Linked DNA regions of Danio rerio. The protein of the gene in region 6 interacts with the protein of the main gene of each other region in a pairwise test. Links are inferred from orthologs where the notes say so. Each region holds a gene or a part of one and is shown on either strand. Other genes may lie near its edges.

What was found.
Region 1: the proteins of tfip11 (region 6) and si:dkeyp-20g2.1 interact in binary tests that used the Homo sapiens proteins (3 or more experiments, as listed by UniProt). The link is inferred for Danio rerio from reciprocal best matches to the Homo sapiens genes TFIP11 and CCHCR1.
Region 2: the proteins of tfip11 (region 6) and sfr1 interact in binary tests that used the Homo sapiens proteins (3 or more experiments, as listed by UniProt). The two-hybrid records come from large-scale screens. The link is inferred for Danio rerio from reciprocal best matches to the Homo sapiens genes TFIP11 and SFR1.
Region 3: the proteins of tfip11 (region 6) and lmo1 interact in binary tests that used the Homo sapiens proteins (3 or more experiments, as listed by UniProt). The two-hybrid records come from large-scale screens. The link is inferred for Danio rerio from reciprocal best matches to the Homo sapiens genes TFIP11 and LMO1.
Region 4: the proteins of tfip11 (region 6) and gps2 interact in binary tests that used the Homo sapiens proteins (3 or more experiments, as listed by UniProt). The two-hybrid records come from large-scale screens. The link is inferred for Danio rerio from reciprocal best matches to the Homo sapiens genes TFIP11 and GPS2.
Region 5: the proteins of tfip11 (region 6) and snx20 interact in binary tests that used the Homo sapiens proteins (3 or more experiments, as listed by UniProt). The two-hybrid records come from large-scale screens. The link is inferred for Danio rerio from reciprocal best matches to the Homo sapiens genes TFIP11 and SNX20.
Region 7: the proteins of tfip11 (region 6) and mettl17 interact in binary tests that used the Homo sapiens proteins (3 or more experiments, as listed by UniProt). The link is inferred for Danio rerio from reciprocal best matches to the Homo sapiens genes TFIP11 and METTL17.

The regions. Positions count from the first base shown.
Region 1 is NC_133180.1:24,151,352-24,154,851, forward strand, and holds part of si:dkeyp-20g2.1 (coiled-coil alpha-helical rod protein 1), read right to left. Parts: intron 1,755-3,500; coding exon 1,660-1,754; intron 1,572-1,659; coding exon 1,457-1,571; intron 1,371-1,456; coding exon 1,260-1,370; intron 1,175-1,259; coding exon 1,034-1,174; intron 1-1,033. UniProt on the Homo sapiens protein: May be a regulator of keratinocyte proliferation or differentiation.
Region 2 is NC_133188.1:27,958,567-27,962,673, reverse strand, and holds sfr1 (swi5-dependent recombination DNA repair protein 1 homolog), read left to right. Parts: upstream 1-1,307; 5' UTR 1,308-1,468; coding exon 1,469-1,555; intron 1,556-1,724; coding exon 1,725-2,051; intron 2,052-3,226; coding exon 3,227-3,414; coding exon of another isoform or gene 3,415-3,418; exon of another isoform or gene 3,419-3,557; coding exon 3,558-3,561; 3' UTR 3,562-3,585; coding exon of another isoform or gene 3,586-3,761; 3' UTR 3,762-3,847; downstream 3,848-4,107. Other genes in the region: cfap43 (cilia- and flagella-associated protein 43), read right to left, coding at 3,586-3,761. UniProt on the Homo sapiens protein: Component of the SWI5-SFR1 complex, a complex required for double-strand break repair via homologous recombination. Acts as a transcriptional modulator for ESR1.
Region 3 is NC_133182.1:28,158,742-28,162,241, forward strand, and holds part of lmo1 (rhombotin-1), read right to left. Parts: intron 1,104-3,500; coding exon 890-1,103; intron 1-889. UniProt on the Homo sapiens protein: May be involved in gene regulation within neural lineage cells potentially by direct DNA binding or by binding to other transcription factors.
Region 4 is NC_133180.1:24,722,553-24,726,052, reverse strand, and holds part of gps2 (G protein pathway suppressor 2), read right to left. Parts: coding exon 3,483-3,500; intron 3,370-3,482; coding exon 3,257-3,369; intron 1,736-3,256; coding exon 1,656-1,735; intron 1,552-1,655; coding exon 1,472-1,551; intron 1,327-1,471; coding exon 1,152-1,326; intron 1,066-1,151; coding exon 982-1,065; intron 1-981. UniProt on the Homo sapiens protein: Key regulator of inflammation, lipid metabolism and mitochondrion homeostasis that acts by inhibiting the activity of the ubiquitin-conjugating enzyme UBE2N/Ubc13, thereby inhibiting 'Lys-63'-linked ubiquitination.
Region 5 is NC_133200.1:38,550,685-38,554,682, forward strand, and holds the start of snx20 (sorting nexin-20), read right to left. Parts: upstream 2,801-3,998; 5' UTR 2,693-2,800; intron 267-2,692; 5' UTR 232-266; coding exon 126-231; intron 27-125; exon of another isoform or gene 21-26; coding exon 1-20.
Region 6 is NC_133198.1:20,764,276-20,768,280, forward strand, and holds the start of tfip11 (tuftelin-interacting protein 11), read right to left. Parts: upstream 2,801-4,005; 5' UTR 2,748-2,800; exon of another isoform or gene 2,655-2,747; intron 1-2,654. UniProt on the Homo sapiens protein: Involved in pre-mRNA splicing, specifically in spliceosome disassembly during late-stage splicing events. Intron turnover seems to proceed through reactions in two lariat-intron associated complexes termed Intron Large (IL) and Intron Small (IS).
Region 7 is NC_133177.1:40,850,728-40,854,227, forward strand, and holds the end of mettl17 (ribosome assembly protein METTL17, mitochondrial), read right to left. Parts: intron 3,310-3,500; coding exon 3,241-3,309; intron 3,130-3,240; coding exon 3,079-3,129; intron 2,959-3,078; coding exon 2,866-2,958; intron 937-2,865; coding exon 737-936; intron 595-736; coding exon 498-594; 3' UTR 397-497; downstream 1-396. UniProt on the Homo sapiens protein: Mitochondrial ribosome (mitoribosome) assembly factor. Binds at the interface of the head and body domains of the mitochondrial small ribosomal subunit (mt-SSU), occluding the mRNA channel and preventing compaction of the head domain towards the body.

The DNA.
Region 1 (3,500 bases), on a different chromosome or scaffold from region 6:
ATTTATGTCAGGGGTGTCCAAACTCCTTCCTGGAGGGACGACGTCCTGCAGATTTTGGCTCCAACTTGCCTCAACACACCTGCATGGATGTTTCTAAAAAGCCTAGTAAGAGCTTGATTAACTAGCCCAGGTGTGTCTGATTGGGGTTGAAACTAAACTTTGCAGGACACCGGCCCTCCAGAACGGATTTCTGGATTTCAGATTCAGAAGTCATTACTCGGAACTTCTGTGTCACATAATCTTTTAGAAATCAAACCCTTATATGCTGCTTAAGCACTCTTCTTATTTTTTAAAACAAAGGATCTGCTTAACGTGTCAGGAGCATTATACATTTTTCAATTTTTTTGATGAACAAATTCTTTATTAATTGAATTAATTCTTGCTAAACATAAAAAGTATTTTTAGCCATTTATTAAATCCTATCAATGCATGCTCATTGCATAAAAATAATAATTTCTCAAAAAAAAAAAAAACGGTGGGGGGGTGGGTTTGGGGGCAGGGTTATGGGTATGAGCAAATAAAAAAAAGCAAGCTATTGACATTAGTGGTTAGAAGTATAAATATGATTCTAAGGTTTCCATATCCTGGACCAGGCCGTATCCTGAGCAGCTGCTGTTGTGGTCATGGAGGAGTGGAGAGCATGAGACCGATTCTTGTGATGCTCCAGGGACAGACGAGTCTTTGCTGAGGCCCACCTTCCAGACTCCGTCGCTTAGACTGCAGCTCCGCACAAGGCATTTTGCCAGAGGAGAAATGGTCGTGCCCATCTGAGCTAGGTTCTGGCAAGGTTTTTTTTTCTACACTTTCGCCAATTGGTAAAGTTTTTTTTTTCTCGCCACTGTCGCCACTAGATTGCATGTTTCGGGATCTGAACTACTAAAACTGAACTACACTATTTCAATTTACTTTGATCTTTTATGTGAAGCTGCTTTGACACAGTCTACATTGTAAAAACACTATACAAATGAAGGTGAATTGAATTAAATATGCTTATGAAATTACATAGATTTACTTGGATCAGTGTTTACATTACCATGTCATGTAGCTGTGTTTTCTCCGTGTGGAGTTGTAAGTCTTGGGTTTGCAGTTTAACAAGCAGAACAAAGACCTTTTGTCTCCAAACACTCAACATCTGCCCAGCTTTACTGCCGGAGCACAACGGGTCCATCTGCACCTACACACATAGTAGAAGTACCACCAAATGTACTAAATAAACATCCAAACACCAAACACACATCTCTGCATGTGTGCAACCCTACCTGTTCACCTAGCTCTTTCTCCTGAATGGCTAGAATGTCATTGGCTGCGTTCACTCTGACATTCAGCAGTTGGACAGATAGAGACATGGCTTCCTTTTCCTTCTCCAAATGCTGCACACATACACAAATATGACACAAAATATTAATGCAAGCACCGCAACTTACATAAGCTGGTGGCATTCCAATGCACCCTGTACCTGTATCTGGCGTCTAAGCTCTTCCTCTTCTTTTTTCTCTGGGATGTTGCTGCCAATGTATGTGCGCAGTTTCTGCACACTCTCTGACTGTTCCAGCAATGAGCTGTTCAGGACACTGGACAAACACAAATAATGTGGCATCACATAAACAGACCTGTAAATTATTTCTCATTTAAAAACAGCAGCATGCTTTTAATACTGACCTCAGCTGATTTCTCAGCTCATCTCTCTCTGAAATTACTTCTTGTAATTGGGTCTTCAGTGAGGTCACTTCCTGTACAGTATCCGTCATCATGTTCTAATTAGAGACAAATACAAATAATTGGAGCTTTGCATTTGATGTCATATATCGAATTTGATTGAAAATGAAAATTAAGTACTTTAATAGTCCTTATGTGATAACTATCTATGTAAAAGAATCGTGCGTAGCATTAAAGAAAAAGACAAGATCTCAGAAGTAGAAATATTTTTATTATATTTGTTTGTTTATATGTTATTTATTAATTTATATGTATGAATATTTATTGTGAGCACTGCTTAAAAATTGTATAATGAAGAAAAAGATAAGTATTTTGATTATTGTTATTGATAGCTAAAAAATTATATGATAGACACAAACAGGTACCTGTATATTCTCACCAGCCACTTTATTAAGTACACCTGTCCAACAGCTCGTTAACACAAATTTCTAATCAGCCAATCACATGGCAGCAACTCAATGCCCTTAGACCTGTAGACACAGTCAAGATGATCTGCTGCAGTTCAAACCAAGCATCAGAAGGAGGAGAAAGGTGTTGGTGCCAGACGGGCTGGTCTGAATATTTCAGAAACTGCAGATCTACTGGGATTTTAACACACAACCATCTGTAGGGTTTACAGAGAATGGTCCAAAAAAGAGAAAATATCCAGTAAGTGGCAGTTCTTTGGGCACAAATGCCTTGTTGATGTCAGAGGTCAGAGGAGAATGGCCAGACTGGCTCCAGCTGATAGAAATGCAACAATAACCACTCATTACAACTGAGGTACGCAAAAGGGCATCTCTGAACACAAAACACATCCAACCTTGAGGCGGATGGGCTACATCAGCCGAAGACCACATCGAGTGCTATTCCTGTCAGCTAAGAACAGGAAAGTGAGGCTACAATTCACACAGGCTCACAGCAACATTTCTGCAGCAACATTCATATGGTAGGGTCAGAATTTGGCGTCAACAACATGAAAGCATGGATCCATCTTGCCTTGCATCAATGGTTCAGCCTGGTGGTGGTGGGGTAATGGTGTAGGGGATATTTTCTTGGCACACTTTGGGCTCATTAGTACCAATTGAGCATCGTGTCGACGCCACAGCCTACTTAATTATTGCTGCTGACCATGTCCATCCCTTTATGACCACAGTGTACCCATCTTCTAATGTCTACTTCCAGCAGGATAACGCGCCATGTCATAAATCATCTCAGACTATTTTCTTGAACATGACAATTAGTTCACTGTACTCAACTGGCCTCCACAGTCACAGATCTCAATCTAATAGAGCAGCTTTGGGATGTGGTGGAACGGGAGATTTGCATCATGGATGTGCAGCCGACAAATTTGCAGCAACTGCATGAGCTATCATGTCAATATGAACCAAAATCTCTAAGGAATATTTCCAGTACCTTGTTGAATCTATGCCATGAAGGATTAAGGCAGCTCTGAAGGCAAAAGTGGGTCCAGTGCGGTAGTAGTAATATGTGCCTAATAAAGTGGCCAGTGAGCTTGTCTACACTAATATTTTTCTGAAAATATAAAATATTTACATATGTAAATTTATAGATCAGTTAACCTACTATCAATTTAATATGCTTGTACAATTTTATATACAAAGAAAAGAAAAGGTGATTTAAATGTTGGGGACATGGATGTTCTGTAGAAAATGTTTATGATAATATATAAGTCACAAAATATTTGCTATATCTGTTGAGTAATAAAAAAGATGAATTGTTCACAACAAGCAATAAATTACTGAGTAAGTTTATGAAAAGACTCTTACAGTGATTCATATCAT
Region 2 (4,107 bases), on a different chromosome or scaffold from region 6:
TTGTTCATTCATTCATTCATTCATTCATTCATTTCATTTCATTTTCGGCTTGGTCCCATTATTCTTGAGGGGTTGCCACAGTGGAATGAACCACCAACATTTCCAGCACATGTTTTTTTACACAGCGAATGCCCTTCCAGCCGGAACCCAACACTGGGAAACACCCATACATTCTTGCATTCACACACATACACAACGGCCAATTTAGCTTATTCATTCACCTGTACCACATGTCTTTAGACTGTGAGGGAAACAGGAGCACTCAGAGGAAACCCACACCAACACGGTGAGAACATGCAAACTCCACACAAAAATGTCCCAGCCAAGGCTCTAATCAGCGACCTTCTTGCTGTGAGGCGATCATGCTACCCACTGTGCCACCGTGACGCCTATCCTTGTCTTTTTTTTTTTTTTTTTGGCAAAAAAATACTGAACTGCATTTTCATTTTAAATTTCAGTTCCATCAAATGTTACAAAAGCAATCCAACAATGCAAAATGTTAATATTTTATACAAATTTTCAAGATTATTTAATTATTATTGGCAATATGCATCAATCTTATAAAGCATATGAGCCAAAACACTGAACACTAACGTGGAAGTGAAAATAAGGCATGGCTATTAGCAGTGGGACACAAATAACAGTGTTACTTTCGTCGCCACAGGAACTCTTGCCATTTAAACCTGCTTTACTTTTAAACTGAAAAACTTAGACATTGCAAACTGAAGGATGTGTTATTGCACTAAATAACCTGTAGATTGGTCATTACCGTAACACATGAAAAGAGAAACACAACTTGTAATGAGGAAAAAAGTAGCATACACTAATTTTCTTTTTCCACTTCAAAACTGAAATTTAGACCAAACTGCAGGACAAGGTCGCAAAATCAGCTGATATTTGTCATCTCCATCAAGGGCTGCATGCTAAATGTGCTGTTATAGCCTGGAAATCAAATGTAACAATGCTTTTGTTACCCACTCTCCGCTACAGTTTCTTCCTACAGTTTTATAATGTAATTGTCTACCACGCTGTATAAAATATGTCTTAAATCAGCAAGCTATACAAAGATAAAATGGCTGTACTGTGCTAGTTTGTGCATTGAAACTGTTGTCTCACAAGACTACACTCAATATACATATAACGAAATCCCTACAAATTAAAGGACAGCAACTTTCCTTTATTTATGTGGCCACTAAGATAAGTTAAATTCATTATAACTAAATTTAGAGCAAACAAAATACACTAATAGTTCTTTTAGACTACATTACCCATGAGTCTTGTTAATAACAACGACGCAACAAGGTCCCGGAAGTGACGACGAAACAAATGGCACCAGTTTCAAAACAGCTGTGTTCACTGACAACTTTAGAAATGGAAGATCATATTCGCACAGAACTGCTTTGGAGAGTACTAAATCACAAATGATAAAGTTATGTAGTCGTTTTTTTCTTTTCGTATCTTGTAAAACATGGAGACAACCCCGATAAAACCAACAGCAGCTGATGAAACTACGCCAAGCGCCGAGCAGTCTTCAAACAGGTCCAGTACTGCAAAGGTAAAGCTTATTGTCTTTTTGACTTTATACGATATTTGTTTTCACATAAACTAACATTAGCGAAAAAGATAGATCACTTTTTCTTTCTTACATGTTATTTTTCGTCGAAACATAATTCTGCTGCATGTCTGAGCTTTCTTTTGATCATTGTTGACATTGTTTTCTTCAGCCCATGAGTGCCTCGCTGAGGGAGAAGCTAAAAAGATCTCGACACTCGTTCAAGTCTCCCCTCAGTGTGGTAAAACGACTCAAAATAGAGGATGACACTGAGCCTCAGCCTTCACAGCAGGGAGAAGAAGAGAAACACGGTGTCAAAGACGACAGAGACTCTAACGTTACAGAGACTGATGTCAACAGGAATGACATGAAGCTGCAGAGAGACTCGAACCACACAGCTGAGCTCCCCAGTCAGCAATGCGAAGCGCTGAGAAAAGCGGTGAAGGAGAGAACAGAAACCTTGAGGAGATTAAAGATGGTCAAGATGTACAGGAAAAAGGTAAATATAAATTCGTAAATTATGGCTGGGAGACAACAACAAAAAACTAATATAATGAAAATATAATATAAGTCATCTCATATGTTGATATATGTATATATGCCTTTTTGTAAGTTCTGTAAAAAATTAGAAAATTAATGGAGTTTCTAAATTGACCACTTGGAATTTTAAAATTACGTTTTTATTTTAATTTCTATACTAAAAAATTCTATATGTTTTTTAAATTTTATCCCTTAATTTAGAACTCGAGGGACACGAGAGAAGAATGTAGAAACTTGAAATAAATATTAATGAAATATAAGTCACTTTTCAAAAACTAATGATCGCAGGCACACCATAACAATATGCTTAGATATATTGAAAAATCATTGTTATTGCAGTAATAGTATATGCAATATCCAAATCTCTTGCTGATATTCTCTTGCTATATTCTCTAAGCACTAACTGTTCCTTTGTATAATTAGCCCGTGCTGTATGTACTGCCTCGTACTGATGATTTGCCTCAATTGTAAGTCACTTTGGACCAAAGTGTGTGCCAAATGACTAAATGTATATCACAGGGAAGTGCAATAAATTAAATTACTTTTATGTTTTTGTATTTCATAGAGGCCTTAACTATCTTAATGCCCACCTTTACAGTAGGTGAACCTAGAGCTGAAAGTGAATATTAATGCTGGGAGACAAGATATTAAATTGACAGCAGCCAATGAGAATCAGAACTCCAGCAGTGGTTTTCAGTTATTCAAGGTGTTTTAAAGTCTAAATGTTTGAACCTTGACACATTTTTTTAAAATTGGCTCAAAGAATCATATACCTGTCTATTTTAGTATAATCGTAGAGTAAATAAATTATTTTTGTCAAAAAAATTGCTAATAAAAAGTTTGTTATATCATAGGAAATATTGTTATTGCAACACTCAACAGTACCATCGCATATTGCATATTTTCTCCAGTATCGTGCAGCCATAATATAAAATATATTCACGTTTCATCCAAATGGTGAAAAATGATTACATGCAAACATTGTATTTTGAGATGCCACAAACTAAATGACAGAGTCTAATATAAAGCGATACTTTTTATTTTGTACTTCTGATGAATATCACCATAAGTAAGTAAATGATTTATTTGTGAGCGAAGCATACTGCTCTTGAAGCTGTTTTTCTCTCTCCACAGAATGACTTGAATGAGTTGCAGAGGCTCACAGACAAATGGAGATCCTGTGCTCAGTCTGTGCTGTATGAACTACAGAGAGAACTGGCCACAGGTGGAAAACAAGCCAGTCTTTCACAACTTATTGACAGCTTTGGGATTAATGATAAACTACTGCACTTTGATAGGACAGAGGAAGACTTCACAGACACGTGAATACATTTCAGCAATTTTTATTCACAGTTCAAACAGATTGCAGCGAGCTTTGTTCATTAAAACGTTTGCGAAGAAAGATTGTCAATTGATTGAACTGTATAATAATTTATTGCACCTTTGTGTGTTGTTTATTGTTTAGGTAAAGTTGTTGCGTTTTGTATGTAGAGTCAGTTGTAGTGCAGTTGCGAGAGAGACGGGAAGTTCTTCATGCGCAGTTTCTCCAGCTCCGCTCTCAGCAGGAGCAGCTCTTCAGACTGAGCTCTGGCGATGGCCAGCAGCTTCTTTCTCAGGAGGATGTCCTGGTAGTTCTTGTCTGACTCTGTTTCCTGGTTATCTTCCATTGCTGGAAAAAGAAAATGTTATCAAATTTTGTGAGCTGTTCAGGCTCCTATGCATTTTTAGCACCATTAATAAATATGGATAAACAGCTATGGTGAGTCCTAATTCATCAACCATAGGCAGAATGTACAAATCGTTTGTTATTAAAAATATATTTTTCTTTAATTCGATATACTTCTGTTCATAGGGTATTTTTTAAAGAGTTCTTATTTAACTTATAAACATTAATCAGTAAATGATGATCAATATATAGATACACAATTTGTTTATATGAAGGCCAAGCTGAATAACTCCAGTAGTCAAATTATTCATCAAAAAAAGCATTTTTGAGCAGTTTAATCAATCTCTGC
Region 3 (3,500 bases), on a different chromosome or scaffold from region 6:
AAAAAAAAATTTAATATTTTACTCGGGTTCATATTAAATCTGTATCACTTTTTTCGGAAACACAAGATTAGATTATTTTTCTCCATACAGTAGCAGTCAGGATGGCTTAATGTTATTTAGCATGAGTCATACTACTTCAAAACTACAATACATGAATGTGACTGATGATATTTTTATTTCTGGGTGAACTGTTTCTTTAAGAGTCCTAATGACGACAGTGCTGAACTGCATGTCTTACTGCGAAGGGCCTCAGCAGTGGGGGCTCAATGGGGAGAGCAGCTTGGGGATAAATGACTGGATCTGGTTGGGAGACCCCAGGGACTGGGATTTAACGCCCAGGAAATAATCATGTTTAATTTAGCAAGCAGATGGCTCAGAGATAGGAGGCAAAACAGATCCTTAGACCTGCGGTTCTGCCACTTAGCTGCCTGGGGTGAGTTGAAGGTCCATACATGCACTCATACACAACGTTTTATCACTCAACTTAGAAAATGGGAGACACGTCACATTTATGTAAACAAGTGCAACTTCACCTTTCTAAACATAAACAACCGCTAAAAGATGCCACTCCAAGCTATTTGCACGAGTGGGATTTAATTGGAACACACAGAGTCTTGGTCGCTACACTGCGATGAGGAAAGAACAAGCACTTTATCTTCTGGAACAGCCTCAAAGAAAACATCATTTACAAGCTAAAAAAAAGTATTATCTTCTAACCCTGCAAGTTAGCAGATAAACGCAACAGGGAGAGGACAGGGCCAGGAACGAGACAGGCAGGGTGGCAATCATTGGCTGTTAGATGAGGGTGTACTTTTCTGAATGTCATGCAGCCTGAGGTGTAACAAGCCCTTTCTGCTTTGGCAGCACTTTGACTGGAGCGTGTTCTTACCTCAGGTAGTCCCTGCGACAGAGGATGAGATTGGCTTTGGTGTAGAGGGTGGAGCCCACCTCCCCCAGGCGGCAGTCACAGCAGGCACATTTCAGGCAGTCTTCGTGCCAGTATTTGTCCAGGGCCTTGAGCAGGTAGCGGTCTTTAATCTTACGGTTGCAGCCGGCGCATCCCTTCTGTTTTCCTTTGGGCTGGACGGAGAGCATCGGCACACCTGTGGCGATAGGGAGACAAACACAGAGAGCGTTGTGATTTACTGCCTGGCTAAACCGGCGACTTTTCATGTTCCGCGCTCTTTGATAAGGGTGGCGACACCGCTGAAGCTCGGCCCGCTGTTTCATATGCATTAGCCATGGATGCTCTTCCTGGCAGATAGGCGCGTAGGTCACTTTGGACTGTGTTCATCTGTTACTGCCCCCGTTCAAAAGAACAGATGTTATTTTTGGCCAGTGGCATGCACCCGTTTAATGGGGGTTTGAATGCATCTCTATGTCAGGATGCCCTAGGACCATCTCTATTTAGATAGCTGACAGAGGTATTTATGTTGTTTGGAAGATTACCCATGGCCCTATTTCATCAGCATGAGAACTGTTGGCCATGCTAAAAGCCTCCCGTGGGCTTTGTTTGGTATAGATCAACATTAACCTTTTAGAGCACTGTTGACCACAAGAAGGCTGCTCTCAGCTTCCAGTGAGATACGCTATGGCCTAAGTGCCTTCCAGACACACGCACACACACACACACACACACACACACACACACACACACACACACACACACACACACACACACACACATACTCTAAAGCCTGATCTCCTTTTACACTCGCGCTCGCTGCATTGCGACTAGCGAAGAGTAACCAAACCGGCTAAATTGCCGCGCTGTCATGTAGCCTCCCCCCTTTAAGCATGCCTTTTAGCCTCCTAAAGGACAAATAAAGTCCATTTAATAACTGCACTAAACACTAATAGTCTATCTGCGGTCTGACATTTGTGTGTGGACTAAAAGCCGCCCCCGGGCCAGAGCTGGTAACACTGGCACTCGGCACCCCTCTGCCAGCACTAACAGGTCTGCCACAGCTGAAAGCGCAGGACAACAGCTCTTAAGACACTCTCTCCCACACTGAGCTATTGATCCGTCTAATAGAACGCACAGCTAAACCGGCACTCTCCCTCTCTCTATACCTCTCTTTTGCTCTCTGCTTTCAAAACACATTTCTCTCAGAAAGCCCTGTGTGATGCCCCCTTTGACACCCCTCCCTCGTGCCTCCTCCCCCCGTCATTCAGCAATATATCGGGCCCCGGATGGTCAAACCATTAAAAGCCCCCAGTCCTGAATGGAGTCAGACCTGTCTGGACAGAGGGCTTTTCATTCAAGCATTAGCCATTTTACAGTTGTATAGTACAGAAAAGTGTAGAAATACTCTCCACGCAAACAGTTAAATGATAAAAAAATATATATATAATTTTAAAGTATGGCTGCATAGGCAAGGCAAGTTTATTTATATAGCAAATTTCATACACAGTGGCAATTCAAAGTGCTTTACATAAACCGAAATAAAAGAGACAAGTATAAATAAAATAGAAACAAATAATATAAAAACAGACGCAAACCGTGTGGAGACAGTTTTTCCATATTCCACAACCCCGGTGTATCATATTTTTTCATTTTACTCTAGGACTTCCCTTTTCTGGTGATCACTCCCTTCTTAGGAGTACATCGCTTTAGCTAGCCAATCGTAATAAAAGGTCTTGATCTCAGCCAGATACCAGAAACGGCCCCTGTGCACAAGGGGACGATCACAGCAAACACGCTTTGTGCATTGAGAGGGGCATCTTTTGAATGGTTTACTAAAGACTGTGAGCGTTTTGTGGCACCTTGCGCACATTGTATTTTTGCCGTTGCGTTCTGTGTGCCCGCAATTGAAAAAACTCTGAGTGGAAAAAGCGTGTTACGTCAGTTGCGTCTTTTCCATTTTTCAATCAAATGAAAGCAGAGGCGGGGTTTCCGTTGATTAAATGCATATTTTTCATAAAGAGTGATAAGTCTAAAGACATGTGGTATAGGTGAATTGGGTAAGCTAAGTTGTTCGTAGTGTATGTGTGTGGATGAGAAGTTATGGGTGTTTTCCAGTGATGGGTTGCAGCTGGAAGAGCATCTGCTGCGTAAAACATATGCTGGATAAGTTGGTGGTTCATTCCACTGTGGCGACCCCTGATTAATAAAGGAACTAAGCCAAAAAAAAATGAATGAATGTTTTCTGTGCTGTTTGAAACACTGCAGGTGATGTGCTGTTGTTAATATGTTCTGTATGCTGTTGTTCACATGTTCAAATAAATCTGTTTTTTTATGCAATATCTATAATGTCAGACACAAAATAGACTCGTCCATTATTATTTTTAATTAAATAATAATTCAATATTAATCTGACCAGGTAATATTCGGTTAACCAGCGGCAGTTGTGAGTTGGCAAAATTTACCGAATGAGCATCCCTAATGTACATGAAATCAAAATGTTGTCAGAAATGACTACAAAGATTCTATTTTGACACTGAGGTCCAGGGTTTTCAGTGTATGGACAACAACTTCCCTCCAAGAAAAGTTGTCAACA
Region 4 (3,500 bases), on a different chromosome or scaffold from region 6:
AGTAAGATCTGACAAGTGTCTTTCACACATATTCAGATGTAGAACGCAGGGAAAGCACCGCATAGAAAGACACTGCAGCGCTGCTGAAAATTGTGGGTGTTTACAGCGGTTTGATGGAAAAATATGAATTTGTAGCTGAATAGTTAATAATGCCAAACAGCATTTCCTGTTGTTACATCCTTGTTTACGTTCTTGCTGTAACATACCCTTAACGCTTGAAACAATGCATATAATTGATCAATTTTAACAAATAAAAACACTTACAGGTTGTGGCTAACAATTCAAAGCAACCCACAAATGCTAGCTATATATTTTTTTAATTCTCTGGAACATAATTAAAATAAACTGTAAGAACTTCTCTCTTTGTGTCGTGTCCTTTAGTAGCCCAAATACAGGAACAGAACAAGCTGCCTGGTAAAGCAGTGTTTGGACGGCATTTTAGCTTTCTCTGCTATAACATTACAATGCCTTTGGCCACGTGCCTTCACTGCGCAGAGTGCAGTGGTGCGTAAACTGAAGTGTTTGTGATCTCACTAGCCTGGATGTATTTTTTGTAGTCCTCAAACTTTGTTCGCTGTAGGCTTTGCTAAGCTAACTCTGTAAAAGCCAATGTCTCCCCTTTGCATTGAACTTTCAGTGTATTTCATTCAGAGATGTTGTTTATGTTCACACATCAACTAAAGTTTAAAGTATGACATCGTACCACCCCTTTAAATAAATTCTGCTGTTTATTTTTTCTAAAACATTGTGCTGACTCTTTACTCTGGGGCTGAAGATTGAAGTGTGTTCTCCATGTTTTCCTTTTTTTGTTATAATTCAATGTTATTTACCAACAATTTTAGTCTTCTTTGTAACACCTCCGAACAAAACCCCTAGACATAAAAGAAGGTCTTCACAATGGTATGCAAAATTCCACACCCAGGTAAGAAAGTGATAGCCACTTGATGCCTAAAAGGTTGCCAGCCTCTGCTATACACACACCTGGCTGAGAGGTGAAGTGACTGTGAACTGCATAGCCTTGCTGCTGATGGGGCAGGTACTGCATGGTCTGGAATGCTGATGCACCTTAAAACAGAAAGACATAACATCCCAAATTCATACCATGTTCTCATAAAACAACAACAAAAACATAAATAATACAAGCAAGGCACCTCTTAGTTGTGAACTACTGGCATAGTTGGCTGGCACAGGCTGACTGGAGGCAAAAGGTGATGTATGCTGCGTCTGGGTGACTCCATACGGGCTGTGACCTGGCTGCGCTCCCGAATATTGGCCGTGCTCTGATCCACCTGCACTAAATCCTGGCTGAGACTGGAAATGACGTGCCTTGGGCAGCAGTAGGAGATGAGCACACAGATCGACAATAACATAAAACAACTGTGAGATTAAACTGAACCAGGTGACTCTCGATACTAAATGTATATAGGTTTGAACATTGCAGGTACAAACAGTTTAGGCTACATTGACTCACAGGAATGACCGGAGACTGGAAGAGCTGTTTACTGCGTTCCCCAAGCAGAACAGCTGGACGGCCATGACTCACCTGACCCGCTGATGGGAAACAAGCATGGAGCAAAATCAAGTCATGGCATTTTAAAATAAATAAAACAAAGCAAATAGTCTAAATGACACTAAAGATGATAAATAAAGGTCACCTTGCATGCTAAGAATGTGCTGGCTAGGGTGGATAGGCATGTTTGCCTGGTATGTGGCTGAAGTCAGGGTTGTCATGTCACTGTAAACAAACAAAAGAATTGTATATTATTTGGTTGATTCATTTAAAAGTAACATGTCTTGCAGTTTAAAAAAGTGATTTAGAGCATTTTTAATTTCAGAAAAGTACAGTTCAGAATAACCAATGTTTAACCTGTTTTAGATCACAAGAAAGATGGACACTTGAATTATTTTAGAAGATTAGAACCTTTCCATGTTATTTATTTATTTTTATATAATAATTTTTTCAGGGTTTTCACCTTGATTTTTTTGATAGGACAGTAGAGAGCATAGGGAGCAGAGAGAGAGGAAGGATCGGCATAGGACTGCAAGGCGGAATCGAACCCGGGTCGCCGCGAGCACCGGAGTGCATGTGTCGACGCACTAACCACTACACCGCTGCGCCAACATGTTATTTTTTTATTAATTTATTTTTCTTTTCTTTCCTTTTATATAAGAGTAAAATGTTAGTAGTTTATTTTAATATTATTTATATATTTTTATACAACCTAAATGTATGTGTGCGACAGGTTTTGTTTGTTGTGTTTAAAATAGAAAAATTGAAAAGCTGCAGAGCATGGCAGAGTGTGTGTGGTTATGTGATGCATGTTTTCAGAGGTGAACTGTGGATGGGGATCATTTCAGAAACGCTAGGTGAAATGCCAGTGTAGATGCAGATCGTTTTCATTCTCATACGCTGTTTTAAAACTAAAATTCTTAAATTCTTGTGATTGTAAATATGGATTATTCCACCAAGTACTGATTTCATATCTATCTTGAAGTTAAAACACTGGTACTGTGTAGTCTGAAAGTACATGTGTAGTATGAAAATATGGCATCTTTCTTTTTTGTTTATACAAACCAAAGCACTAGCAGTTCACAAAATATAACAAAAATTACATATTTTACTCAAACGCAAAACTATACAATAAAAAAATTTAAAAAAATTTCAGTGTTCTCTTATTTTTTCTCCTTTGCTCTCCTCTGAAAATGTATATACATTTTTTTCTCAATTGCCCTCCAGTGAAATCTTTATTCTTATACAAGTATCTCCCAAGTGATGTTAAACAGAGTAAAAACATTTTTCAAAGTAATTCCTATTATATTTTTCTTCTGGAGAAAGTCTTAGTTTTTTTTTGTTTGACTGGGATTAAACTAAAACATTCAAACTGGTCAATATTCTCAATAAAAGGTCAATACTATTAGGCTATTAAAAATGTTGTTTTTATTGGCTACAGAACAAACCACTGTTTACCAATGACTTGTCTACTTAAGCCAAATTGCCTAATTAACCTAGTTAGGCCTTTAAATTGCACTTTAGAATTAATACAAGTATTTAGCAAAATAACTAGTGAAAATGTATTTACTGTAATCATGGCAAAACAACATTAAATTGGTTATTAAACTATTATGATTTAAAATGTGTTTGAGAAAATTAAACAGCTCTTGGAAAATATTTAAAAAGCAATTCCAATTTCACAAGTGGGCTAATAATTTTGCCTACAGCTGTATATAGTGTGTGTGTGTTTTTTTAAATATTTACCTCTGTTCTTTCCGACGTCTTTTCTCCTCTTCATGTAGAACTTTTTTCAGTTGTAAGAAAAGCTGGTGCTTCTCCTCTTGAAGGCCCTGCAGCTTCACTCCCATCTTCATAATCTAAAGACAGAACAAAAGAAATTAAGGCTTGCTGAGGACTCCTGAACAATAATCCTGCAACAATATCTGCAAATAACTCCCAATGTTTAAATGAGCCAATCATACAGACTTACTTGCTCTTTAGTCTCCTC
Region 5 (3,998 bases), on a different chromosome or scaffold from region 6:
ACACAGATCATCCTCTGCAGCTGCCGGTGAGTACACACACATCAACACAGGTCTGATGCGTTAAACACACACCCAGAGGACATCACGTCAAAATCTGATCTCATGATCATACAGAATCAACTTACACTCTCCATTACCCTGTAACGTTTCCTGGTGGGGTGATAAATGCTCAGGAGCTGATGAAACCGTGTGATTAGCAGTGGTGTTGGGTGGTTTTTCCTCTTCCTCCATGAAGATCTGATAATTTTAGCTCTCTGTAAGGAAATCTAATATGCAAAAATAAGAAATATTATGTGCCCATATTGAAAAAAATCACTTTAAACACAGTTGTTTGTGAATATAAGCAGCTTACAATGATAAAAAATGTATTAATTGTAATTATTATAATCGCACTTGATGAAAGCAGTCTGCAGAAACACTTTGATTGACATGCTCCCTTTGTACGTGTCATCAGAGGAAAGCCCCGCCCACTAGTGACCATCTCTCCCTTATAAGAATATGACATCAGTCTTGTATTTGAATCTGCCACTATGCTGACACACAGGCATTTATAGCTCCGCCCTCTTTTGAAAAGAGCACAATCTCATTTGCATTTAAAGTGACAGTCACTAAAACACACTTAGGATCAAAGCCTAAAAGGGTCAGTTTCCGAGAGTTATCACCATTATTAGTGTGGTATTTTGAGCTGAAACCTCACACACACACACATACACACACACACACACTAGAGACATCAGAGACTTGTTTTACATCTTGTAAAAATAGGACCCTTTTAAGCATTTCCTCAAGAAAAATGTTAGTCCGCTCAACAACACAATAATAATAATTCATTCAGTACTTTCTGATGCAATAAAAGTTAAACTTACACATTACATTAGTTCCATGCGGTGAAAGGTAAAGTGCCGCACTTCCTCAGGAAGTTGGGCAAAATTAGATCTCTAAAGGAAATGGTTTAAAGAAAATGTGGCAATGCTGTGCAGATGACAGAAAATACAACCACTGGCAATCTAGCATCACTCACTGCAACCAGAAATGCTTGTTTTACTTGTTTCTAGTAAATATCTACAAATTCTTAAATGAAGAAGTATTTAATAGACTAGAAAAGCTTATTTTTTTCTAGAAACAAACATATAAAGCATATACACTCACTGGCCACTTTATTAGGTACATTTTACTTGTACCGGGTTGGACCTTTTTGCCTTCAGAACTGCCTTAATCCTTTGTGTCATAGATTAAACAAGCTGCTGGAAATATTCCTCAGAGATTTTGCTCCATGTTGTCATGATAGCATCACACAGTTGCTGCAGATTTGTCGGCTGCACATCCATGATGCTGATCTCCCGTTCCACCACATCCCAAAGCTGCTCTATTGGATTGAGCTCTGGTGACTGTGGAGGCCATTTGAGTACAGTGAACTCATCGTCATGTTCAAGAAACCAGTCTGAGATGATTGAGCTTTATGACATGGTGTGTTATCCTGCTGGAAGTAGCCATCAGAAGATGGAGACACTGTGCTCATAAAGGGATGGACATGGTCAGCAACAATACTCAGGTAGGCTGTGGTGTTGAATTGGTACTAATGGACCCAAAGAAAACCTCCCCCACACCATTACACCACCACCACCAGTCTGAACAGCTGATACAAGGCAGGATGATCCATGCTTTCATGTTGTTGAGGCCAAATTCTGAGCCGAGCATCTGAATGCTGCAGCAGAAATGGAGACTCATCAGAGCAGCAACGTTTCTCCAATCTTCTATTGTGCAGTTTTGGTGAGCCTGTGTGAATTGTAGCCTCAGTTTCCTGTTCTTAGCTGACAGGAGCGGCACCCGGTGTGGTCTTCTGCTGCTGTAGCCCATCCGCCTCAAGGTTGGACGTGTTGTGTGTTCAGAGATGCTCTTCTGCAGACCTCGGTTGTAGCGAGTGCTTATTTGAGTTACTGTTGCCTTTCTATCAGCTGGAACCAGTCTGGCCATTCTCCTCTGACCTCCGGCATCAACAAGACATTTGCACCCACAGAACTGATTCTCCAGCAGGATAGCGCTCCTTCTCATACTTCAGCCTCCACATCAAAGCTCCTCAAAGCAAAGAAGGTCAAGCTGCTCCAGGATTAGCCAGCCCGGTCACCAGACATGAACATTATTGAGCATGTCTGGGGTAACATGAAGGAGGAGGCATTGAAGATGCTTCCAAATAATCTTGATGAGCTCTGGAAGTCCTGCAAGAACGCTTTCTTTGCCATTCCAGATGACTTTATTAATCAGTGATTTGAGTCATGTCAGAGATGTATGGATGCAGTCCTCCAAGCTCATGATGGAGTCAGACACAATATTCATTCTGTCTCCACTGCAGCAGGACTTTATATTCTATACTGGACATTATTCCTGATCTAGACTTTTGTTTAAGCAAAGTCATCTTTCTATCCTAATGAAATCATTCAAAATCAAGGCATGATCATCTTTTATTGTGGTATAATAAGTGTCATCTAGAGGCCTTTGCCTTTCATTTAAGCCACTTCTGATACTAAATGATCAACTAGAAAGTCATCCAAATTTGACATATTTCTGAAAACAAAACTATATTTTTTTTTTACCAGAAAACAAGTCTTGATTTAAGAAACAAAAGAACAACTTTAAGAAAAGTGTTTATATTACAGCACAACACACTGGTAATATTAAAAAACAACTGACTCACCTGTGCACACAGACATCGAATAATCTGCTGAAGTTGAAAGTGTAAGTTCACTTGTGTCTCTATAAGAGGTCATGTTTACTGTTCCTGCTTCTGTTTTTCATGCTGACTGAAGCTGAAGTTTGGTCATGAGGAAGTGAAACCTGAAAGAGGGAGTGTTGTTTTCACGCACATTTGACTGCACTTTGTACATTTTTCATTGGTTTTTGTGCAATAATTTACACTCTGGATACAATAGGGAAATGATGACATACTCATGTTATATTAGGCACATTGTGTTACTATTGTGCCTATTACACCATATACTGCTTTAGTTTGAACAGTATATTTCATTTATAGCATGTTAAACAGTTTATCAAGGGTGTTTTACATTTACTCATCACTGTTACAGCGTCCTTCACACCGTAAACCACCAAAGTATGGCTTTGGTTTCATACATGTAAATCTCAAAGGTGTCCAGTAGATGGCGCTGTAGAGTAAATTACTATAATGTAAATGGCAGGATATGTCAAGCACTTGTTTATGGACTATATTTTACTCACTGAATATATACAAGGTAAGTTTATTAGCAAATAGCAATATGTATTTGAAAGCCAACTAAATCAATTACGGAGTGAATCTGTCAATTGTAATGAAGGCCGAATTAAATGTAATTAATTAAACTTCAACTTCAAAAAGCGTTCCTTGATAAGCCTTGATAGGCTGAAGTAGTAACACCTACTTAAAAAAAAGAAAAATAAAGCTAATTAAATATATCAATATTCTATCAATCATATTAATATTGTTATATTTAATTATTAATAATAAACACTATAAAATAATACTAACAAAGATCAAGATCCGATCAAGGTTTTTTGTGCCTTTTTGTGAATTAAATGGGCCTCAACATTCTAGCAGTGTGCTTAAATATGCTTTTAACATCTGCTAAAACATTGTTAGCAACATAATGCTAGCAACATGCAAGTAAAATGTTACCAATATGCTAAAACTTGCTAATAACACACAAGCAATGAGCTAAAACATGCTAAAACACACTGTTAATGTGCTAAACATGTTAAAACATATTAGCAATGTGCCAAACATGCTAACAACACCAGCAACATGCAAGAACATGTTACCAAAATTCTAAAACATGTTAATATTGTTAATAGAAATTAGCTAAAACACACCAGCAATGAGCTAAGCATGCTAGCAACACCAGCAGCATGCAAGAACATGTTACCAATGTGCTAAAACATGCTAAATAACAATGGCAAAATGCTAAACATGCTAATAACACACCAGCAATAAGCTAAAACATGCTAAAACA
Region 6 (4,005 bases):
AATAAACAACTAGTTTTTATAGAGATTGTGTCATGTCTTTTCTTTGACGCACGCGCTGAACAGCCTGTAGCCTAAATAATAGTTTAGATTTTATAACATATAATGTTTTATTACTTTAAATGTATAATGTTTTTTAATATTTATGGAATATATAAAATATATAGTTTATATAAATGCGCTCTGATCATTCAAGGATCATAATGCGTTGCATATTCTTCTTATTCTTCATTAGGCTTGATCCGTAAATTGTGTATTTTATAAACTGATCGTTTATAAGGATTAAGCTATTAATAACTGTAATTCCTCGAATGGAAAAGTCTTGATTAAAGAAAAAGAGAACTTAATTCGACATATGCATATAGTGCGCTTATTTCTGCGCGCATCGCGCGCTTTACCGAATTACCTTTTTTATTTTTATGCACTATAAATGCATCTGGCAGCACCGAAAAGAGCAAATGCCAAGTTATTAGCGCAGCGCACAGACAGCTAGCTCGTCTAGTCTGAACCAGGGGTTTTCAAACTATTCATTGCACACCGATCCCATTGCATTTTATTTAGGATAAACCACTTATTTAAAATTAATTAATTAAAAGGTGCGTACTCTCCAATACACCACTGTAGTGTCATAATATTTAATAATTATAATTAAGATAGACACCTGACCTCCATTTAATAAACAATTTATTTGCCATACTCTGTTAATTTGAAGTTTAAAGTTTAAATCATTTATGTTAAACTTAAATTATTTAAAAACTTAAAAAGACTTACATTTAGTCATTTAAGACATTTTAGGTCATAAGTTTACATACATTGACCGTTGCATTTAGTAGGCCTATTCTGGTCTAAATAAGCTTTTTGCATCTTAGGTGTTTACACACACAAATTAAGCAGTTTATACGTACATTTAATGTTACTTTGAAATTACTTTTGATGCAATAAATAATCCTAAATAGTTGAAAGTGTTAACATATTCTTGAAATGTAGTTATTTTATAACTATGAAATTTATTACTAAACAAAGTGAATCATTATGAATTTGCCAAGAAATAATCCACTTTACCACCGTAAAGCAATGCCCCACACTCACTAGAACGGTAGAACCTGGACTGTATGATATGTTCTGTATGTAAAATAGAGAAAATAAGCAAGATGCGCAGTCTCATGTAGCCTTAGTGAAATATAGCGCGTCACAGCAATGAACTAAAAATAAAACCACCCTTGAAATGCTGGCGATCTTAATTTTTTCAGCCTACACTGACTGAGAATAATGTTGCACTATTTAATTAACAAATAATTAGAATGTTTTTTTTTTCCTTCAACACATTCATCATTACTTTTGCCTGTGCAAGTTTTTTTGCGCGTGCTTGAGTGCGAAGGCATCTATTTTCAGGTGCAAGATGCCACTTTGGGTGGCACCAGCACACTCTGCCACACCTGTGGCTATGTCCCTGCTACAATAATAATAACAACAACAACGACAAAATAATAACAAAAAATAATAATAATAAGACAGGCCTACTTTGACGTTGCAATAAAAAAGTATTAATTATCAAATAAATATTTACAATAGGCTAAAGGCACATATTAAATTAAAATAGGAGAAAATCCAATAGAAACAGGTACCATTTATTATAGCCCCATGCAGGGTCCATTGTGTTCTTACAACCATTAAATAACTAAGTAAATAATAATAATAACAATACTGCTAATAATAGGCCTAATAATAATAATAATAATAATAATAATAATAATAATAATAATAATAAATTATTATTTTATACAGAGTAGGCTATTATTTAGGCCTACAATAGCTCTGAAACAATCATGTAAACCAGGTGCTGCTCGGAAATGGCTATCTTTGCTCTGCATCAGGTGCACAGCAGCAAGAAGCTTGGCAGTGAACTATGACCTTATTTTAATGACAAATGTCTAAGAATACTGCTGATTTACGTTTTTATTTAATTTATACATACGCAATGAATGTAAGCCTGCTAAATGTGTGTGGTTCAAATGATAGAATCTGTAAACTTAGTTAATATATATATAATTAAATAATAATAATTAAAAGCCTGCGTGTAAGGCTTTTATTTTGAGGGTGACGTCACGAGCGCAGATTTGGTTGACCAATTAGAGGAAAGTGGGCGTTTCAGCACCGCCTACATGTGTAAAATGAATTTTAAAGTCGTTTATCCGTTTTCCTACCCTAAACCAAAAAACGAAAATCCAGCCAAAATCTTGTTTTTTCGTTTTCTCGTGAGCAAAAGAAAAACGGAAAAACGGCAGTTTTCTCCATTTCCTTTATTCCGTTTGAAACTGGAAAAAAAATGAACAAAATGTACACGGACCATTTTTTGACTCATTATTTCGTTTTGGTTTTGTGTTTGTTTTAATATTTCGTTTTAAGTTAATAAGCAGAATAACAGATGAGTTTCCGTTTTTTCTGCCTACAGAATAAACAGAAAAACGAAATATTCATCGTTTTTCTGATGTTTCGTTTTCCGTAATAAAAGGAATAATCAAATGAACGGATGATACACGGACCCTGTTCTCGGATGACAAAAACTGATTAGTAACTTAGAGTGCGTGAAGCAAACGTTTCCCAGAAAAATCATGTTAGCTTAGCAATGCCACTCTGTTGTAAACAAAGACACATACCTTCCCTTAAATCAGGTATTGTCAATATTCCGTCATGGTCAACTCTGAAATAAACTATTGTGTTTAAAAATAACAGTGTGTAGACAGAATTACCTGAAAATGTGGTTTCTTGTTATAGACTTCAGCTTATCCGACAGTGACTTCCTGTTGGGACCGGAAGCAGAGCAGTGACATCAGAGTGACGCAGAGGTCAGAAACCCTCTCTCACAGCCATCTTGGATCCTGTGCCCTGAACTAGTGAGTACTCCTGCGTAAAATCTATTGTCATCCAACGTTGCTTTAGCCAATTCAATACATAATTTGTAGCTTATGCTGATGCTTTAGTGTAGCTGTGTTTGGAATGGTAAAGATTTGTAAATTTGCTTGGCTTATTGAGGAAATATGTTGATGATTACAACTGGCTGACTGTTCAAAATGGGGGAGCGAGACGCACCACCGCTCGCTATACTTCAGCCGTGGGCTTTGTGTCTAACGAAAATGTTAACCCTGCAAAAAGTTGCACTATATACAACTATAGCGATATATTGTGAGAAATCTGTAATTTAATCGTACGAAAGGTTGTTGCGTGACGTGCGACAATAAACACTGGCTGGATAGTTAACTTCGCTGCCTAAACATGTAACGTTTCTAAAAACGCATGCTGTGTCAACAGTATAACCTAACGTTACATTATAAAGGATTATAAACTCATTTCTTTAAAAAAGTTTTATTGTAATTTGTGTAATGAGGTTCTTTCATTCAGCAGTAACGTGTCAGAGCTCCTCTGTTAAGATACACACGTGAAATGTGCAACACAGTGCACGCGCACACATGAACAGTGTGTGGAACTGTTTGGGGACGTTATAAGCCTTATTTGTTCAGTTTGCCTGTTTGCAATTGATAAAGCTCACAAATTCTGTTCGGTGGCCTTGTGAAATGTTATCATGTAGCTCAATACTTTGAGACAACAGCAGTGTTTAACTGAGCCGGTAGTGGGACAGCTGACAGCCAGCAGAGGCCTACAGGAAGAGGCCTAGAGTGCTGCTGTTTCAATAGAAAAAGCCTCATTAACACAAAGCACTGACTAACGCATGTCTAAACCTTCATGCAGACTTTGTAAAGCTTATAATGTATTGTTTCTCATTTCTGTTTTAGTCCAGAATGCCAGGCGAAGCCACAGAAACTGTCCCTGTTACAGAGCAGGAGATGCAGCAGCCCCAGGCTGAGACGGGTTAGTACTGCTTTTAAAAGTGCATGTCTGATACTAAACACTGGTTGTCTAGGTGGTCCTGGAAATATTGTTTATTGTACTGGTTATTATCAAAATGTTGCTTATTCTATTCAGGGTGTTTTTGCACCTGTTTTAGCCTTT
Region 7 (3,500 bases), on a different chromosome or scaffold from region 6:
ATATGCTTAAAGTCCCAAAGAAATCAAAACCAACCATATGATTTTGTTAGCTCACATTGGCAGTTTTGTGGTGAACAATTCATCTGTGCATGACATTAAGAAAATAAAAATAGTTTGCCCTTCTAATCTTTAATTGAAATCTGAAACTACATTTTTTTTCAGTTAAATTGTCAGATTAGATATATATTAGGTATTGAGCGTGGCTAATATATTAAACCACACATCTCCAGCTCTCAGTTTTGACAACAAACTAAAATGGTGATCATCACAACACAAAAAAAAAAACACAGTTTGCAGCTTCTGGTTCATTGGGACTTTAAAAATAGCCTTTTAACCTCTGTTGGGATAACTTTTTAACATGAAAACAAAAATAACATGAAAACTGACATTTAGATATCATGTTGCATACAAGAACTATTTTATTTGCAAACAAGCAATACATTTATACAAAACAACCTCACTGCACACACGCTGCATGAACAGATTTCTCGCAGGTCTCATTCCGTCTCATCATTAATAGTGTGCTCATCTTCTTTATGAAAGACTGGCAGCAGATCTCCCCAGTCGCTGTTACGAGCACATCTGTACATGTCCCTGTTAAAATAGACAATACAAATTCCTTAAGCCAACTACCAGAATGAACTGCACCTGCATAACCTGTTAGAATCAATACAAGTCAAGGTCATTCACTGAAAATCTAAATAGCAGAGATCTATTATAGGAAAGCGTCCCATACTTTCCATGACGACGGGCCGTCACAGCCAGTTGTTTGAGTTCTCCATTTACGCAGCACAGCTGGCACTGAACGTGTCTGGGTCGGCGATGGACTTGTGCGATCACTCTAGCCATGTCCCAATGTTCAGCCTTCTGAGCCTTCTCTCCATCTGAACGGGATACAATCAGGTAACTAAACCTCTCCTGCTGCCTTTCCTGGCTCTGTGACAGTTGATTCATATAAAGGGATAAAGAAAAGAGGAATGTTATAAAGGCCTAGTTCTCCCAAAAATGTGTATTGATCTTTATGTGACACGAAAAATGTGTCCCATTCTCTCATGAATGCATTTACGTGGAACCTGGTTATGTTTAATAAGATATCAGTGTATCGCCAGGAGCCATAGGTATCGATGTAGTTTGGCCTATATACATTTTTTAATGTTTTGAAGTGAGATTTGGGACATTTGAAACCACATTGCTGGAAAAAGAGCTAGAGCCACTCTTAGACACATGTCAGTTTGCCTATAGGCAGAACAGGAGCACTGAGGATGCCGCTCTTAGCATTATTGTTCATCTTGTGTCCAAGCATCTTGAAAATACTAAAGCTTATGCTCATATTTTATTTGTTGATTTTAGTTCAGCATTTAATACAGTGCAGACACATCTGCTTTTAGAGAAGTCGCATTACATGGCTGTCAGTACTTTCTGAATTATATTGTTTAATTCTTTTTAAAGTAACAGTGCTCAGCAGGTCTGGGTCAATGGGATACTTTCTGAGGTTAGATATAGAAATACAGGAGTGCCACAAGGTTGTGTTTCATCGCCTGTCCTTTTTGCTTTGTACACAAATGATTGCAGAAGCACACATTTTATTATTTATATTATGAAATATGCTGATGATACTGCCATCCTAAGTCTTTTACACAAAGACATGGACCTTTCATACTACCACAGTGAAATCGCTAATTTCGTTCAGTGATGTGACAAGAACTGTCTTGTGTTAAATGTAAAAAAGACACAAGAAATGGTCCTTGACCAATGAAGTGTATCTGAACTTAGGCCTGTGATCATTAAAGACACAGTGATACAGCAAGTTACATCTTACAGATATCTGAGGTTCTATATGGACAGTGTTTTTTTGTTGGAGAACACACACTGACAGCTTGTGCACACAACTACAACAGAGGCTTTATTTTTTAAGAATGCTGATTGTATGGGGTAGGTAGCAATATCTTGTTTATTTTTTACCGAGCTATGTTTGAAAGTCTTATTTGCAATGGAATCACAGTCTGGTTTGGAAATCTTTCTGTTCGATTTAAAAATGAATTGGGTTATATTTAAAAAGCAGCCATGAAAATGATAGGAATGCAACAATATGAGCCCATACAGACTCTATATGATCAGGCGGTCATGAGAAGAGCAATAAATATTAGTGCTGATTCCAAACATCCTCTTTTCAGTGAATATCAGCTGCTATCTTCAGGAAAAAGACTGAGAATGCCAATGCGTAAAACCAATAGATTAACGCTTTCGTTTGTTCCTACCTCGATAAAACTCTACCAAGAACAGAGCACCTGTAGTACGTTAACTGTGTTCTGTGCTTTATATATTATATATTTATATATGGTCTTATTTTGTAAACAATGTATGTTCTTAATTGTTTTTGCTTAATTCTTTTGTTTGTTTTATTTTGTTGTCTGCTTAGAGCAACGTTGTAGCACCTTTTTCCTTTTTTTTGTTTAAACTCGATCCTATCCTATCCTACTTATTTTTTCATAAACTATCATCGTAAAGTGATAGTTCCCCCAAAAATTGTCATCATTTACTCATCTTTTACTTGCTCCAAAACTGTTTGATTAACCAGTGACTTGCATAGTGTTTGTTTCAATGATCAAATGATTCATTGAGTCAATGATTAAAGGCTTTCAGCGCTCTTCAAAATATCGTCATTTGTGTTCAACAGAAGAAAGAAACTCATTTATAACCATTTGAGGGGGAGTAAATGTTAAGTAAACTTTCATTTTTGGGTGAACTATCTCTTTAACTACTGTCTAAATACCTCAAATATGTCCATGCCATGATAACAACTGAACTGAAATTCAGTCATTCGAGGTGATTGTCACAATTCAGAAACTAAATTTGTGGACTTACCCGTGATAGAGGCAGAGAGTAGTAGAACTGGAAGAAGTTACAAGGTACCACAGGTTGCCTGATTAACTTAGGACACTTCAGCTCGTGCGTGCACTGTCCAAATTGAAACCATACAGATGACAATGTCAGCATAAAACATTTTAATATATCTTATTAAAGATGAAAAAATAAGAATAAACTTCAGAAATAAGTTATTTTGATGTTTTAACGCACAGGAGCAAATATAGATGGTCTCCTCGGGTCATGCAGTATCTCATCTTCTCTCTACAATAGAAAAATCAGACACGTTTAGGTACTTCTGAAGGATGCATAGGTTGTATTACTACTATTCAAATGGAAAGTCATGTTTTAACAACAAAAAAATATCAGTTTAACCTTTAGTATAGCATCTCTGGCCTCCATAAGGATTTGATGACCTTCCTTGGTTCCATTCTCCACCAACACCTGTACAAAATACCAAGAACTGCATTAAGAATGATAACAATTACAATAGTTTACACATCATTTAAGTAGAAAAGGGTTTTCCCCCCAGATTTCAATAAACAAATTATTTTAAATAGGTATTTTGCCATAGTATTTTTTTTAATACTAGTAAGCCATAGTAACTGCATATTAACCAAGGGATTGCTTTATGA